2 linked regions of the Lepisosteus oculatus genome follow. The protein of the gene in region 1 interacts with the protein of each later gene in a pairwise test. Links are inferred from orthologs where the notes say so. Each region holds a gene or a part of one and is shown in the gene's direction. Other genes may lie near its edges.

The links.
Region 2: the proteins of E3 ubiquitin-protein ligase Midline-1 (region 1) and ubtd1b interact in binary tests that used the Homo sapiens proteins (3 or more experiments, as listed by UniProt). The two-hybrid records come from large-scale screens. The link is inferred for Lepisosteus oculatus from reciprocal best matches to the Homo sapiens genes MID1 and UBTD1.

What each region holds. Positions count from the first base shown.
Region 1 is NC_090710.1:19,718,425-19,726,076, forward strand, and holds the start of E3 ubiquitin-protein ligase Midline-1, read left to right. Parts: upstream 1-4,585; 5' UTR 4,586-4,726; intron 4,727-7,652. UniProt on the Homo sapiens protein: Has E3 ubiquitin ligase activity towards IGBP1, promoting its monoubiquitination, which results in deprotection of the catalytic subunit of protein phosphatase PP2A, and its subsequent degradation by polyubiquitination.
Region 2 is NC_090699.1:16,771,188-16,778,855, forward strand, and holds the start of ubtd1b (ubiquitin domain-containing protein 1), read left to right. Parts: upstream 1-4,638; 5' UTR 4,639-5,280; coding exon 5,281-5,353; intron 5,354-7,668. Other genes in the region: MMS19 nucleotide excision repair protein homolog, read right to left, coding at 859-949. UniProt on the Homo sapiens protein: May be involved in the regulation of cellular senescence through a positive feedback loop with TP53. Is a TP53 downstream target gene that increases the stability of TP53 protein by promoting the ubiquitination and degradation of MDM2.

The sequences.
Region 1 (7,652 bases):
GAGGACTTTTTTTTTTTGGATGAGGACTCTGGAATTGATTTAGCTAAATTAATATCAATCATTTCCTTCAGATCCAGAGTTTACAAACAAATTGACCTGGGCTTGAAGAGTGCCCGAGGAGAGCAAAGCAGGCAGGACAAGGTGCTGAGGTGAATAAGGAGATGAAGTGACCCAGCTCGGTAAGTACTCCCAATTCCTAACGAACAGCAATCATGGAGGCGGCCCTGCATCCACAGTTCCAAAATGGCCCTTACACCTGGCCATGATATTCAGTTGGATAAAGCCTGGCTCTACCAATCTACATTGGCTCTTCCTCATGTGTGGGTGAAGGAGCTTTCTTAACAGGAGATTCTTTGGGTTGTGTTCTGGAAGCGGACGACCCTAGCTTGCTCTGCCAGAATGTGAGGATACTTTATCTTTTTATCTCTTTCGAAGGCAAGTATCCATTCTTGAAGCAAGGTTGATTCACGACTCCAGACCCTGTGGTAAGTCCGTGCAGGCAAATTCACTCTTATATTGTTCAGACAATCCATCGTGAAATAGGGCAGTAAGGTCCTTCTCTCCCTTTTCACTTTCAATGGCCAAGGTGTGGAAGTGAATGGCAAAATGAGCCATGGAGTACTTCCCCTGTTTCAATTGCAGTAGCCAGTTGGAGGATTGGGCTGATCCATTTTTTCAAACGGATTTCCATTTGAAAAAACACATTGACATCACATTAAGTGAAGTTAAGCCGGTGGAGCGCAGATCTCCCACAGGCATAAAAAATGAATTGAGATGGAAGGTCTGTGAAAAGCAGAACGAAGACAGTGTTGGCCATGCGGAGCAAGGAAAGACTTGCAGCATATTGTTCATGGCGGCACGCAAATTTCTGACAGCCTCTCTTAATTCTGTCACACTGGCCTGTGAACTTAGGGCAGGCTCATGATTGGGTAGAACCTGGTGAATTTCATCTTTCCCCAAAGGGTCCATATTAATGGTTTAGTCTTACTGTCATAACCGCTGTAGTGACCTGGAAGGGTTTAGTGGTCTAAGCTGGTGATGAATCCTAATGCAGGCAGACAGACGAGCAAGCAGCTGGGTACAGGCAGGCAGTCAAACAGGCTGTTGTGAGCAGACAGGCAGAGGAGTACAGAGCCAGAGAGCATAGTTCAAGAAGGAGAAACCGATGTAAACAGAAGGGAAATACAAAAGCCATAGTCAGACAAGTGAGAAGTCAGAGCACAGGGAAGAATTCACAGGGTCAAAGCAGTCGGGGTCGAGCATGGAAAGACACAGCAAATACAAAAGAGATCCAGGGAAATGGTTAAAGAAACCACTGCAGAGCCAAACCAGAGAAGTCAAATTGCACCAGTGTGAAAATTGGGTGATTTAAGGACAAAGTGGTAAAGCTGAGCAGGGAAGTACAGTCAATGTATGTACATAGAAATTGTACTGTATATCCTTTGGAAAAAAAAATGTGCTGATCTGCCCAATCATGTTGTCAAGGAAACAGACAGATTAGCAGATTAATTTGAGTCCCAACCGCTGGCCATGGTGGTTCGAGCGCTTGTGATTCAGCACTCAGCTCAGAGGGGATATGACACCTATAACTTGGTCTTCAAAGCAGTCCTCAGCATTAAATGTAAACCCATTTAACATAATATACTTTAACTTGAATTGGTAAATGCTCTCTTAAATCCAACATATGTATTGAATAAAAATAGTATAAATTATATAAATGTTTGCAGATTATGAAGTGCTTGACATCCCCTCCTCCGTACCCTCTGTCTTTTCCTCATCTTGGGAAGAAATTAATCCTCACATTGTTGCTAACAACAAAGTACATAGCTCAGTCATTTCATTGTACAGTAGTCTAAGCAGTAATAAAAGAATATGCTGTTATTCCCCCAGAAAAGTCCAGGGCACTGAAAAGTTATTAGTCTTATTTTACCAGCTTCACAAGAGAAGTAACATAAAACTTCAGCAGATTGTTACATGACATCTGGACTTTACCAAATGTAATGAAACACCGGTGACTTACAGTGGAGTGTTTTAAATGGGGTTTCAAATGGAGTATGCACACATACTTAGTTTAGAGATATGGGCTTCTGAGGCTCTTTAATAACAGTGAGTTTATCACATGCTTTCAGACCAGGAGTTTTGAACTGTTTGAATCAGAAAGAAAAGTCTCTTTTCTCTACTCCTCATTTTCCATACACATCATAACAATTATTAATGGTTTATCTGAATACTTTGCTTTTTATGAAGATAATTGACTTAAAGCTACATTTGAAATACAATATAAATTTCTCTGTTTCTTGTTATCAGGTTATCATTTTCTAGCATTTTATTATTATTTCTGTAAATAAAGCCAGTTTGTGACCTACTGTATTCAACACACCCAATTTGTCTTGCAGCATCCTCTTATATATTGTGAAGGGACAGATGTTTAAACAAATAAACTTTTTAAAGCTAATTTGTGACCTTGCATATTCATTTTAAAAGAAGCTTAAAAAGACAGTTGCTGTGTTCAGTCCACTGAGTCATGAAAACTGTGTGCTATAGAACAGTACAACATGGTGCTAATACAACTGGGACTATGATAATGACTGTACTTTACAGTATATGTCAAACACTAACAGGTGATTTAAATTTACATATTTAAGAAAATACTTAAGAAAATACATACAGTTGTTTTTTTTTATAGAGAGCTGTTTATTATTATAAAAACATTTTTACTGCTCTTAAAATTCGTGCTTCCAAGCCCACGGTGAATTGTATACATTTTTAAACATGAGCAGTAGATTGTGGAATACCAAGCAAGATCAGAGGCCATTAAAATATGGAAAAAAACAAGCCCCGAATTTATACAGTATGCACATATAGTACACATATGGTCTGCATTTCTATATGCATCATACTATACACATCTGTATATAAATCTAAAAATGTCAGCAGTTTTCTGGAAAAAATGAGTCTGTGTTCTGAAGATTTCAAGGATCCAACAACTTTGCATGTAAATTTGAGATTAAATACTGTATATCTCAGAGTTTCTTACTAAGAACTTCAATTAATACCTTCAGTGTACATGTGGTGCTGTGCAATATTCTTGGACATCTTGGACTCAATCAGGAGTTACAATAAATGCATGTTATGACCAGTTAATTCAAAGTCTTTACTATTCTACTATTATAACAACCTGTATTTTATTATCTTTAATTCACAGAATCAGAATCTTTAACGACATGATAAATCTAGGTAAGTATACATGTGTGACCAATATAAAACATTTTAGTAGCTATTCCATCACATTTACCAATCCAATCTATTTGACTCATTTATCAGGTGGAGCTTGTCATTAAAATTACTTGTTCTTCTCTGCACATTTAAATTTAAAGTTAAATGCTTAAATGTTGTGCTACAAAATATGGACAGTTAATAATGGTTAATTAAACAAAGTGGCTGCCATTTTAGTTAAAGATCAACTTTAAGTTTCCATAAAAATGAAAAACATTGAGTTAGAGGAGTAAAGCAATGCAAAGTATTAAAGACGGGGACCTCAGACTCAACTCCTGGAGGGGTAAGGCCTTCTGGTTTGTGTTCCAACCTGAATAGTCAATTAAACATTTAGTCTAATTATTTTCTAAATTAGATATACATACAGTAGAAGCTTCCTTAAGGTCTTTTACAGTGGATTACAAGACCTTAAATTCATTAATGTTACCTAATTAATTAATGTGAATAATTAGACCGATTATGTACAGTAAATGAGAACATGGGTTCCAGAAACCAGCACACGTGAGACCCTCCAGCAATTGAGTTTGAGATTCCTGGTTTAAGACATTTGCCCAGCAGTGTGCATTTTAAAAACTTTACAATGAATGACAATTCAATATCTAGTTAAAATCTAGATTTTTAACTTTTAAAAGTTGTAATAATAATATCCATGATGGAACTCCAGAATGCCACTTTACAAAGTAAGAAAAGTAGTATTCATTTTAGGGTTGGTTTTGTACGTGTCCATTCAAAAGCCACCAGTTGCGATGTCCTAAAATTACATTCACAATACCTGGAGGTAGTGCTGTCACTATGGTAAAACTGCATTTTTCCATAATGTGGAAAAACAAAATCATTCAAAATGCCTTTAAATGAAGAACATTTCCCCTTTTAAAAAAATATTTGGTCTAAATCCAATTCTATCAAAAAGGGACCTAACCTGAGCTAAAGGGTTGCATGAAACTGTTCAGTGTCCAATACTGTTGTCCATGGGAATGAGTCCTCATGGTACCATTGACGTGCTCCAAATGTCATGGTCTAAACAGACCAGCTGACTTCGTAACCACTCCCTTTTTATTGCCTCTGTACTGCAGGCAACCTCTACTGAATACTTTTCCATTAAGGTGCTGTTTTTTTGGCACTTGGGGGGTTAAGCTTTCGTTCCAAGGCAGTCTCCCTGAGAGGGAATTTAAGACATGTTTACCTATATAAGGAAACCTGTTGGGCTGAGGAGAGAGGCTTCTCTGTTCCATACAGGGAGGCATGTGCATACACACACCCTGATGAGTGGGAGTGAGCTAGAGGCTGGACAGAGCCCAGTTTCCTGACTCACAGGATTAACAGTTAAAGTTTTTACTACAAGTGGGACACAGACATCTCCAGCTCTGTCCTAAAAGTCCACTCTGCAGAAAAAACACTGACATTTTCCCTAGGAAGGAGGACATCACAAATCGGGACAATGGGGAAGCAGGTAGGAGATTCAGTGCTTGAGAGGCATTTAAGGGCGCGACGTAATACTCAAGGCGAGATGTGAAGTAATTTGGTTTTCACCTATAAACCTCTGCTCCACTTCTGTTTAATTTAGCCAAGAAGTTTTTCTGCTCCTGCCAAACTGGACTTACAAAGTGTTTTTTTTTTTCCTTTCTCCGTTCTCTTTCATTCATTCACTTTATAGGAATATCACTTAACAGCAGTTGACTTTCTTCTAAAGATTTGTCTGGCAAAGAGCTCTCCGCACTTCACAGTGCTTTCTTATCTGTGATGAAACCCAGATGCAAACTGAAATGAAATAAATTAAAAGCATTTAGGACTGCCATGTGCTGCAAATGCCTAAACAGTTCAAAGGAAGAGACATTTCTGAAATTGAAAGTCCAACACTCGCATGTTGGGATTTAACTTAGTCCTAAATAGGATTTAATTTATCTTATTTTTTCCTTTGAGTTGCCAGATATGCAATGCTAAGAAATCATGATTGTGAAGAACGGAGTAAACAATGCAAATGCATACTGTACATCTGTATCAGCCGCTGCACATTCCAGAAAAAACAAACTATTTCTGAATGAAAGTGTTCAAAGCTGCTTTCTTTTGCAAGGTCTATCCATGGAATACATATTAATGCCTTTTCAATACGTGTCAGAAATGTTTTAAAGGATAGATCCTGTATGTGGTGTAAGATTTGGTTATCTGGCAAAATGTAAAATGTCTGATCAAAATAATCCATGCTTCAGGGTCATTTCTTTTAAATGTCCTCCAGTACTTTCTTACCTGAGAGAGTCCTGGATGTCTTTCTTGACCTGTGCCAGTGGGTAAGGATGAGCTATACAGTAAATGAGAAGCGTTATATGACTTTTTAAAATTATTTTGTGCTGTGTCATGTATAAAAGGTGACAGAAAGTTTCATCTAAATGTATATGGTAGGCTGCATATACTGTATCTGAAGAATTTGGCACTTTTACTTTATTACAATATTGAGTTAAATTTCTGGTTTTGAGGTCAATAAAAATAGAAAAGTAAATTGTTATTCCATTTTTTTTCTTTTTAAGTTGCTTATACCATATGTATTAATATTTTTAAATAAGTTGTTGTATGACCTAGATTTACAAAGTTCTCCCATCAGATCTGTGCTCGATTTTTCTGTTTAAGGCCGCTGTCTCTGAACTGTATCTAAATAGCACACATTAAAGTATCTAAATAGATTACATTAATTTTATTTTGTACTGAAAAACTAGCATGAAGTACTCTTTACAAAAAGAAGCTTTTCATCCTTTACTACTGCTGTGATCATGATTTTTCCAAATGAATTTATTGTTTTTAAAAGAAAGGACATTTATTTTTTCACTTTAGATGTGTATTTTTGGCGTGACAACTGAGTTTAAGATAAATTTAAATTGTGTTAAAATTGAGGTAAACTTTGTGGTAGCATGAATAGGTTTTGTTGTATGTTTCATTTAGTTGGAATGTGGGACAAGTTTTAAGAAGCTGTACAGATCCTTACATTGGTTTTACATTAAAATGACTAATCACTCTTACTAAGTGAACCTTATAAGCAGAATCTACTCATTTCCTGGGTCCAAAACCTGAGTGGGGTAAGGATTCAGAACAACTTTCTGAAAAAATAATTAAACTTAGTGTTGATCACAATTATGATATAAAATAGCATTTTCTCTTCGGATTGTTTTACTGGATATTGAGAGATTAGAAAGATGAAAGAAAGAGAAAATATAAGGTAGAATTTACTCATAAATTACCAGAATGATACAAAAAAATAAATGAGACATTGCATTTCTTTACTTGTTGTTGATGGTAAAGTCAGTAAAGTATTTCAATAACTTTACCGTGTAACTATTTGTTAGTAACTGAGTATAATCTTGCTGGATTAGTTAGATATTGCTTTATTTTCACATAAAAGTGTTTTTACAGGTTATTAGTGTTGCTTATTGATAATGTAATTTTCTCCCATTATTGTGAATACCATACTGTACAGTATATAGCTTTCATTTGTTTCCAAGTTCCGACATAAACATGAGTTTTAAATTAATATTTCGCATTGCATAATCCCATATCTTCACGGTGGTACGTCAAAAATGGTGCCACAGCTTTTCCCAATTTATGACAAATGACTGCAATTACAGTATTCTGGGATTGTCTGCTTTGTATAAACATTGTGACACTTTCTATTTCTTGTAGCTCTGGGTTTGTTTAATTAATTCTCTGTTGATTGGGTGCCAGTTGGTTAACTGTCTTTATCAGGATAACTTGAGAAAGACTTATACACCTGGGAACAGCACTTTTCAAGTAGAAAAGTGTTTGACATTGCACTACCTGCAAAGAGAGCAATTACAGTATGCATCCTCTGTGCTCCTGGTTACCAGGAACTGGAAGATAATATTATTTTACAAAATAAATTTTAACTGTACATGATTGATTATATTCCATTTTATACTTGAAAGTGTCAAAGGTTATAGTACTGTACATGGTTATCTTTGCCCTAGAGCACATAATTTTGTATTGTTTTAATTTTACTGTGCAAACCTTATTAATTTTCCAGGTGTCTAAGTATCTGTATCTTGTAATGGGATATTACAATGTGATATTACATATATGGTATGTGAATGAGATAATTCTATTACAGTGCATGTGGTACTTTAAAAACATCTCTGAATGCATCGTGTCCTTACGTCTTTAGCTGGTGTTCCGAATCTGGCGATCATTAAGAAAAACAAAAGGCAAAACTTTAGGAATGCACTTTCATGTGTAATCCTTTAAAAAATATTTTATAAAAGGGATATGGTCAACTGCGAGTTGATTTAACCTGCAAGACAATAGCATGGATTGAACAGTTAATCGCATTGTGGGTCTCAGATTTGTTTATGCAAATCTGTACTCATAACACCAGT
Region 2 (7,668 bases), on another chromosome or scaffold:
AACATGTAGGCATCAGATCTCCAAGGTATGGCTCGTGTTTATAAAGACTTTGCTCCAGCGTTAGAGCGAGACGAATTTCTGAGCCAGGAGTGGAGAGAGCTATGCAGCTTGACAATATCGAGGAGCGCACAGTACTCGACCGCTGTCCCTGATCCAAGGCACCTGGGCGGGCAGTTCTTCACAGGGGCATGTCTGTGGAAGACACTTGGATTTCAACGGGTCTGAATACATCTAACAGGAACCGTCCTATAGGCTGTTCGAATTAAGTTCCCGAATAAGGGCTCCTTTACTGAGCCACTGCGGATACCTACTCTTAGTATCCTTAGTTTAAATTAATTACATACACCTTCAGAGCGCCAGTTCTACGCCAGGATGGGCTCCTGCACCCGCTACATGTGCCAACAGGTTGCTCGTGATGAGCCGCTTGTCTCGACACAACCGGAAAGAGAGGACGTCTGAAGTCTCCCAAGAGCCGGGCGATGCACCGCTGTTTTAAAGTCAGTCCCAGTAAAAACGTGAGAAAATGTTTTCCCATGGCAAGCAAATTCTAGAACGGTCCATGCTTGTGTCGGTAGGGTGTGTTTTTACTCAAACTGTCTTCTACTGTGTACTGCCTGCGTATTGGAGACTTTCATGTTGTGCAATAAATACAGGACCATGTCAATTAGGGCTGATCTTTCTCTTCGATGTGCACTTATACCAAGGTTCATACACATCACGTTTCCTTTAAAAAGATACCCAGAATATCAGCCACACGCTTTTCTGGGCATCGGACTCTCCCATCCATAGTCGCTGCAGCCTGCAGGCTCAACGTACAGCTCACTAAGAGCCGAGACCGAGATCGATTACATCAGTTACCTGTTGCAGTCTCAGCAGCCTTGCTGTCCTGCTGGCCCGATACGAATTCCTCTACCAAACCCAGCAACACAGCTCCATTCGCGGCCATCATGCACAACCCACAAGTCAAACTCCTCTTCGCGCGCATGCGCTGCAGCTGTCGCCGAGGAAAGGCAGGGTAGAAACACCACTGTCACGTGACAAAGACCAAGGCACTGTGCAGGGTTGCTCTTGAGCAGTTTTGCCCTGTCCTCAGCGAAGTGGGCACTCCTGCTTTTGAAGCAATTAGAATGTAGCAGCTCTGAAAGTTTGCTTCAGATGTTGAGCAGATATGATCAGGAAATGTTTGAGGAAGCCTCATGTCACAATTCCAGAGAAACAAGCATCGCGGATGCTGTGTGACCCAACTTACTGACGAATTCAAATTCTGTATTGGCATGACCAATTAATTAAATTATTACCAAAGCAAATATTTACACAATTTAAAGCAACATATATTTGAAGTAGTCTACGCTCCTCAAACTGTGGTTAGAGCTCACGTACTGGCTGCAGAATCCCTTGGGTCTACTTACAGTACGATTGGAAGATCTTCTGAGTTTTGTAGGTCTGGGATTTCTATGTTCAATTTGTTTATTGGTTTTTCGGGAAGAACAAAAAATATTACATGGTACCATAAACAATAATGAACAAATGTGAACAATCATTACGGCATGACAGACTTAACCAAACTGTAAAAATCCAACAATAATATAAAAACAGTGAGGAAGGAGAAGAAAAAAGGAAACCAGAGATGTAAAAGAGGAAAAAGGGTACAGGTGAAAGGATAGGTAGGGAATACTAGGAATTGGTATCTGTGTCTATAAAATACAATATAACAATATTTCTTCTGTGTTCTGTAATCTGGAATCTTGTCAGTATTTACAGTCAAGATTCCCTTAACAAAATGGCAAGAAATCTCATGTTCTGATACATCACGAGCAATTACTGCAATAATACCAGTCACTATAGTATTAGACTTCTTACAGGGTTTATGCCCTGATGTGAAATAATGAACCCAAGAGTTTTTTTTTATATTTATCACACTCTGCATACTCTTTAGTTAAAGCACTCTTTGTTTTTATTTCTCCTATCATAGGTGAAGTTTCAGAGAAAATACGGACCACAGTATTTTCCCAGTTAATAAAGAAATCAGGAACTGTCCTGAAATCGTTCCAGGAATGTTGTCAGCAATAAAGGGGAAAGTATGAAGCAGATCTTATCTCCTGGCAAAATACATCAATTACTGCCAATAAGGAACAGCAGCTGCTTAGTGGTAATCTACCCGTACAGACCCAGTGATAGGCAATGATCAAATAGGTTAATGCAGAATGAAAATCAATGCAGCTTCCGATTGTGTTACTATTTGTATCACGTAATCAATCTTAACCAGCTCAACTTCCAGAGGACAGAGTCTCAGTCAGTACAGAACAACGCACAGCACATGGGACCTGTGCCTTAACTAGGGGGTTCGGTTTGATACTGGACAGACACGCTCACTGGGACCATACTGACCCACCCAGGGGGGATACTTGACCCAGCTGGAACTTATTCAGGGTTCTCTCAAGTTGTCCTTGATGAATTAACCCGATAACCGACTTCAGCATTACTCAAGGTTCACCGAGGTAAACTCTGACTTCATTTTTCCAGTTAACTTCAATTTAAGCCCCTTGCCAGGCCTCTGCTGTCTCTACTTCCAGAGACGTTCCAAATTGTTTGAGGAAACATCATTCCAGGAGGAAAATTACTAAGAGGTGCAATACAGGAGGGATGAGCGTCAAATCCTTCATTTATACCAGCAAAAACTACGGCGAAAGAATGCGCATCTTAATCCAGTGACCAGGAATTATGCCTCTTTATGGAAAACTAGGAGGATAAAATCTGTTGCAAAAGCAAGGAAATACACTGTAGCTGCTGCAAAAGCCAGAGAAGTCGCCTTGCAAAACTGAATCTGGAAGTTAATTATGAAATCCAATCAACTAGCTCAAGAGATAAAACAAACTATAAAAATTGTGTGAGTATGCATGCATTGGCATTACTTAACTTTCATTATTATGGTGCTGAAGTGGAGATCCACTTTAAGCCATGGTGTAATCGCACAATTTTGTTCTTGTGCAGAACTAATTTGTGCATTTACACAGCACAATGCTGGAGCACAAAGGGAGGACCTGGCAGCAGGCCAAGACAAAACCCAGGAACATCATCCACAGTGGCACTGGGGTCCTGTACACTACGGTGTGGCGGAATGCTCTTACAACGTCTTCCAATTTTATCCGACAAGAAGACGCTTGAGCAGAGTAACACTTGAAGAAGAGGAATCGGCGTCAACACCATAAAGAATGTGTTCCTTCATTCAACATTTCCAACATTTTTTAGTGTGGATCGAGTAGTATAGGTGAGGCATTCCCCTCCAGATTGCAGAAAGCCTTACGCCAGGTAAAAATGTGACCTAATTATAACCGAAAAATAAAATAACCACAGTGAAATTAGAAAAAAAAGGTATATGTTAAAAATCAGACCGAGCATTCACTGTTTCACTAGAGTTATGTTCGGCTATGATGTGCCTTTCAGAGCTGTCACCCTGTTGAGCGATGAATAGGAGGACAGTCATCAGAGAGCACTGGTGGAGGGGAAGAACTCTCTCTTCCTAAGGGTGGTAATACTGTGCTGCACGCTGAGGATACCCTCAGACAGAATCATGTACATGTTGCCAGTGTGACACCATACATCATGGATTCTGATAACATAGGAAACGATGTGATGATGGAAATTGTGCATAATATACACCTAAGTATAGCAACACCCATTGTGTGCACACACGTTTAACCTCTTTTATCGGACACGATCGATAATATTTATTGTTTTTTGTAATATTCATATTTTTAGGCTAGAATTTTATTTTTTAACTGTACATTGATGCTATGAATTGATTTTCTGATTTTAAAAAATCAGCCTGGACAGCCTCCTTGGTGCACGACACATCGCTTTACTGAAGAGTTCCGAATCACCCACACAGTAAAAAAAAATGCACCAGTCACAATAATCTCAACTACGAGAGTTTGTTTCTTGTAACGCTCAGCTACGTCCAGCAGTATTAACAATGTATGTGGTTAAGAGATATTGATTGTAAAGTATATCCTATCTATTCAAACTGTATCTTTCAGATAAAAATTATCAGCGGGCAGTAAAGGGATTTTGCGATCTCTAATCTTGATGCAAAGCTCTGTGTACTGGATCTCTGAAGAAAAGTGATGTCGTTTCTCATAGGGGGCTGAGCTGAGCCAAGCTCTTAACCACAAAGTCAGGCTAAATCTGATTTAACCTGCCTCACAGCAGGTTAAGAATGAAGGATATGTTGCTATAGTTATTTAACTTTAGACCGTTCAATCTTGCTTCGTGAAACCGAAAATCCGGATTTTTGTCATCGTGTTATCCGGTTAACTGAGAGAGCTATGAGAAACAACCCCTAGGGCAACAGTGTTTTTTTCGGGAATAAGATATTTTTTTAACATTGTTTGAGAATGAGATTTCTGTTCTCATGCATGTGATTTGATGTAATCTGCTAGAAAAAGGTGATCGATACTTATCAATAACGACACAATCAGACACCCACTTTTTGATCCGATTACAGGGATTTATTTTTGTTACGCCAGATGACAAGGACTTGCCGAGCTACTGTTTATTTATATTTCGCACACAAACACCCGCAGCCCTTTCCTGTTACCTGACACCACAGCGGTGCCAGTCACGAGACGAAATCCAACACCGGCCGGTTTCTACCCAGAGCTCCGCGCAGGGCCGCGCAGGCGCACTAGCGCCGTCTGCCACCAGGAAGGAGAAAGGGATTTAAACCTGGAGCAATCCGAGGCGACCTGGGAGAGGTTGGGGATTAGGGAGGGCAGGGAAACTGTCTAGAGAGAATTTTTTTTAAAAAAAGAAAACAACAACAACATATCTGTGGAGTTGTTTTTGTGCCACAAGAGCAGAGACGAGTTTGCTTAGCAGGCTGAGCCGGGACCGCAGAAGTGCCAGTGAAGTTACCGCCGGACTCTTGAGCCAGAAATAACTGGAGACGGGAGAGGGGGAGCCGCGTTCCCTCTCCTTAAAAATAACCCCCGAAGTGCTTCTTTCCTGCAGCGGCGGGGCCGGTGACCTCGCGAGGGCTGAAGGTTTGGCCGGTCCTGCTCCGGGGGGGTCCCTGCCGAGCCCCCCCGCTACGGCTCGCGCCTCGGAATGCTCGTGAGCTCAAACGACAACAACGGCGCCTGAGTCTCGAGCGGCGCGGTGCTCCCGCGGACGCGCACGGGGAACCCAGGGGCCGCGTCCCTTCCCGGAGGGGTCGGCGTGAACGCTTCTTCCCCCACGGCGTGGAGCTCTTTATGGGGGGTCCGGAGTAACTGACCAGTCATGGGAGGCTGCGTGGGAAGAGAGCGGGGGAGCTCGCAGGGGTCAGGCCGGAGCGGGGCGAGGAAGCGTGGAGGTAAGACACCCCCCGCCCGGGACGTGTGATCAGTTTCGCTTCCTGCGAGAGAATGTTTTGTTTAGTGTTGGAAGTTGAGCGGCTGCAGTCCACGCCGAAAAGAGGCCAGCGTCTAGTGTAGTGTAGCGGAGGGACGAGGCTTTAGAAAAGAGGCTGCTCGCAAGAGAAATTCGTCGAGTGGGGAGTTTGAGTCGACTCTTCGGAGGCCACGACCTACGCAGCGAAGTGTTTGTCAGTCATAATGATGGGGAAAAATGCCTTGCAAGCACGCCCGGTCCCTTAGCTGGTGTGGATGTGAGGTGTTCTTACATCGCCTCTAATCCGGGTCCAGTCTAACACACGGTTAGTCACGACACATCCGCAGCTTTGAGCCTGAAGGATTGCCGTGTTTCTTGTGAGCACTTTTTACAGACGAGAACTGCAACGGTGCGGGTGCAGAGCCTTGGATGTTTTCTAAGTGTGACACTCGATGCAAAAAGCAGAATATCCCTTTCCTGTCGAGACAGGGATGTCAGGGGATCCGTGTGTGACCAGTGGTTCCTCCAGGCCCTCTGTGCGACTTCCTGATGCTTTGCCCCGGCCGGGTCACAGATCCTCTGACGCTCCTTCCCCATTCAGAGCACCACTGTGCTACAGCCAGAGAACAGCACAAAGGAAACACTGTACCCTTGCACACAGCAAGCCACTTGCCCATCTAGTCGATGTGGTTCTTTATAGCTAATTAGGATTGATTAAAATCTGCATATTTATCAATTTTTCTTTAGAATTATAATAATGCCGTAATCCGGCCCTCAATCCCAGGGTACATTTTTTTAAAAATGTGATTTTCCTTGGCAAAATCTGTGCTTTTTACCGCTGAGCTTGAGGTCTCTTTCTGGACTCCCCTGTTACTAAGGGGTGAGAACTAGTCTTGGGATAATATGAGTTGTGGTTCTTGTGGATTACCTAAATCCTCAGTGGATCAAGAATAGGCTGTAGGAATCTCACCCTGTGTGCTTGGTGATTGATTAGCAGCCTGTGACAGGTTACAGTCTAGCATCTTGTGTTTGTAGAGTGAAAGGAGAAGGCCACACCAGGGCCACAGCAATAGGACCCCAGTCCATTGTGGGATCACTCCCCTCCACTGCTGAGCCTTACTTACCGTATACAGCTGGGTGGACCGGAGCAAGTGGGGTGAAGTACCTCTCTCAAGGTACAGCAGCAGTGTTTCCAGCTGGATGCGAAGCCACAACTCTGTTCTGACCCCGCGAGTTTGTAGTGTAGAAGTCCCTTCAGGTTTTCCTGAAAATGTAATGGGGGGGGGGGAAATAGTGCTACAGGAAGAATGGCGCGGGATAAACTCAATGCGCACAATCAAATGCACTGGCGTTGGCTCCAGTGATGAACTGTTCTAGAGAACAGAGAGGTGGGTTGTGACTTTGCTTATTTTTGGTGATCTGAGGTATACAAAAAAAAAAGTCATTTGAATTTTGAACTTTTCACAACTTCACAGATGATGCGACTTGATATTCCTTCTTACGATTTTGTGGATCTGGTTATGTACACTCAAAGTTTTGTCTGTCTGAGTAGTTTTGAGGCCAGGTCTTCCACAGACTGAATTTCTGATTTGTAATTGCAATGAATGTAATTTACATGGTCTGTGTGAAGAATGAAGAAAGCCTGGTAGAGCAGAGTGCAGTCCAGTTGGCATTTGGTACTTGTCTTGAGTCTTCCAAGGTTATTTAATCCGTCAATTGACTTTGCCTTAGGTTTTATTATTCTAGCACATCGTTTCACAAATTGTGGCTCAAAAATATTCCTTTTATGAGGTCATTTATAATTAATCGTCGATGGGATGCTTTAGATTCTTATTTTATGTTCAGACTTGAGAAAAGTGTTTTCAGAGCTTGTGCTTTGTGAGCACACATCTACAAAACAAGCACCCTGTAATGACAGGAAGATTTCTGCATACAGTTTAGTTACTAATTTGCAACATAAAACAAGCATTTTTTTAAAGAATTGCGCTCTGCTGTAAACATTAATATCCTGTTGTACTTAATTTAAAATGGCTGACTTTTAATCTTGGTTACAAATGACGTGGCATTTAGTCTCATAGCCTGCTATATTTTATGAGAGAACTTTGATGTTTTTTAAAACTGCCCCCAGTTTTGTTTTTATGTAAACGATGTCTGCTTGGGAATAATGCACTATGTAGTGCAGAATACAGGAGTATATTATTTATAGAAAGCATAGCTGAAAACAGCTCAAGGTAAATAGATGTCTCAACATGTGATTTTAAATTGCCTGGTACTATTAATCGAAGATTATGGTGTACT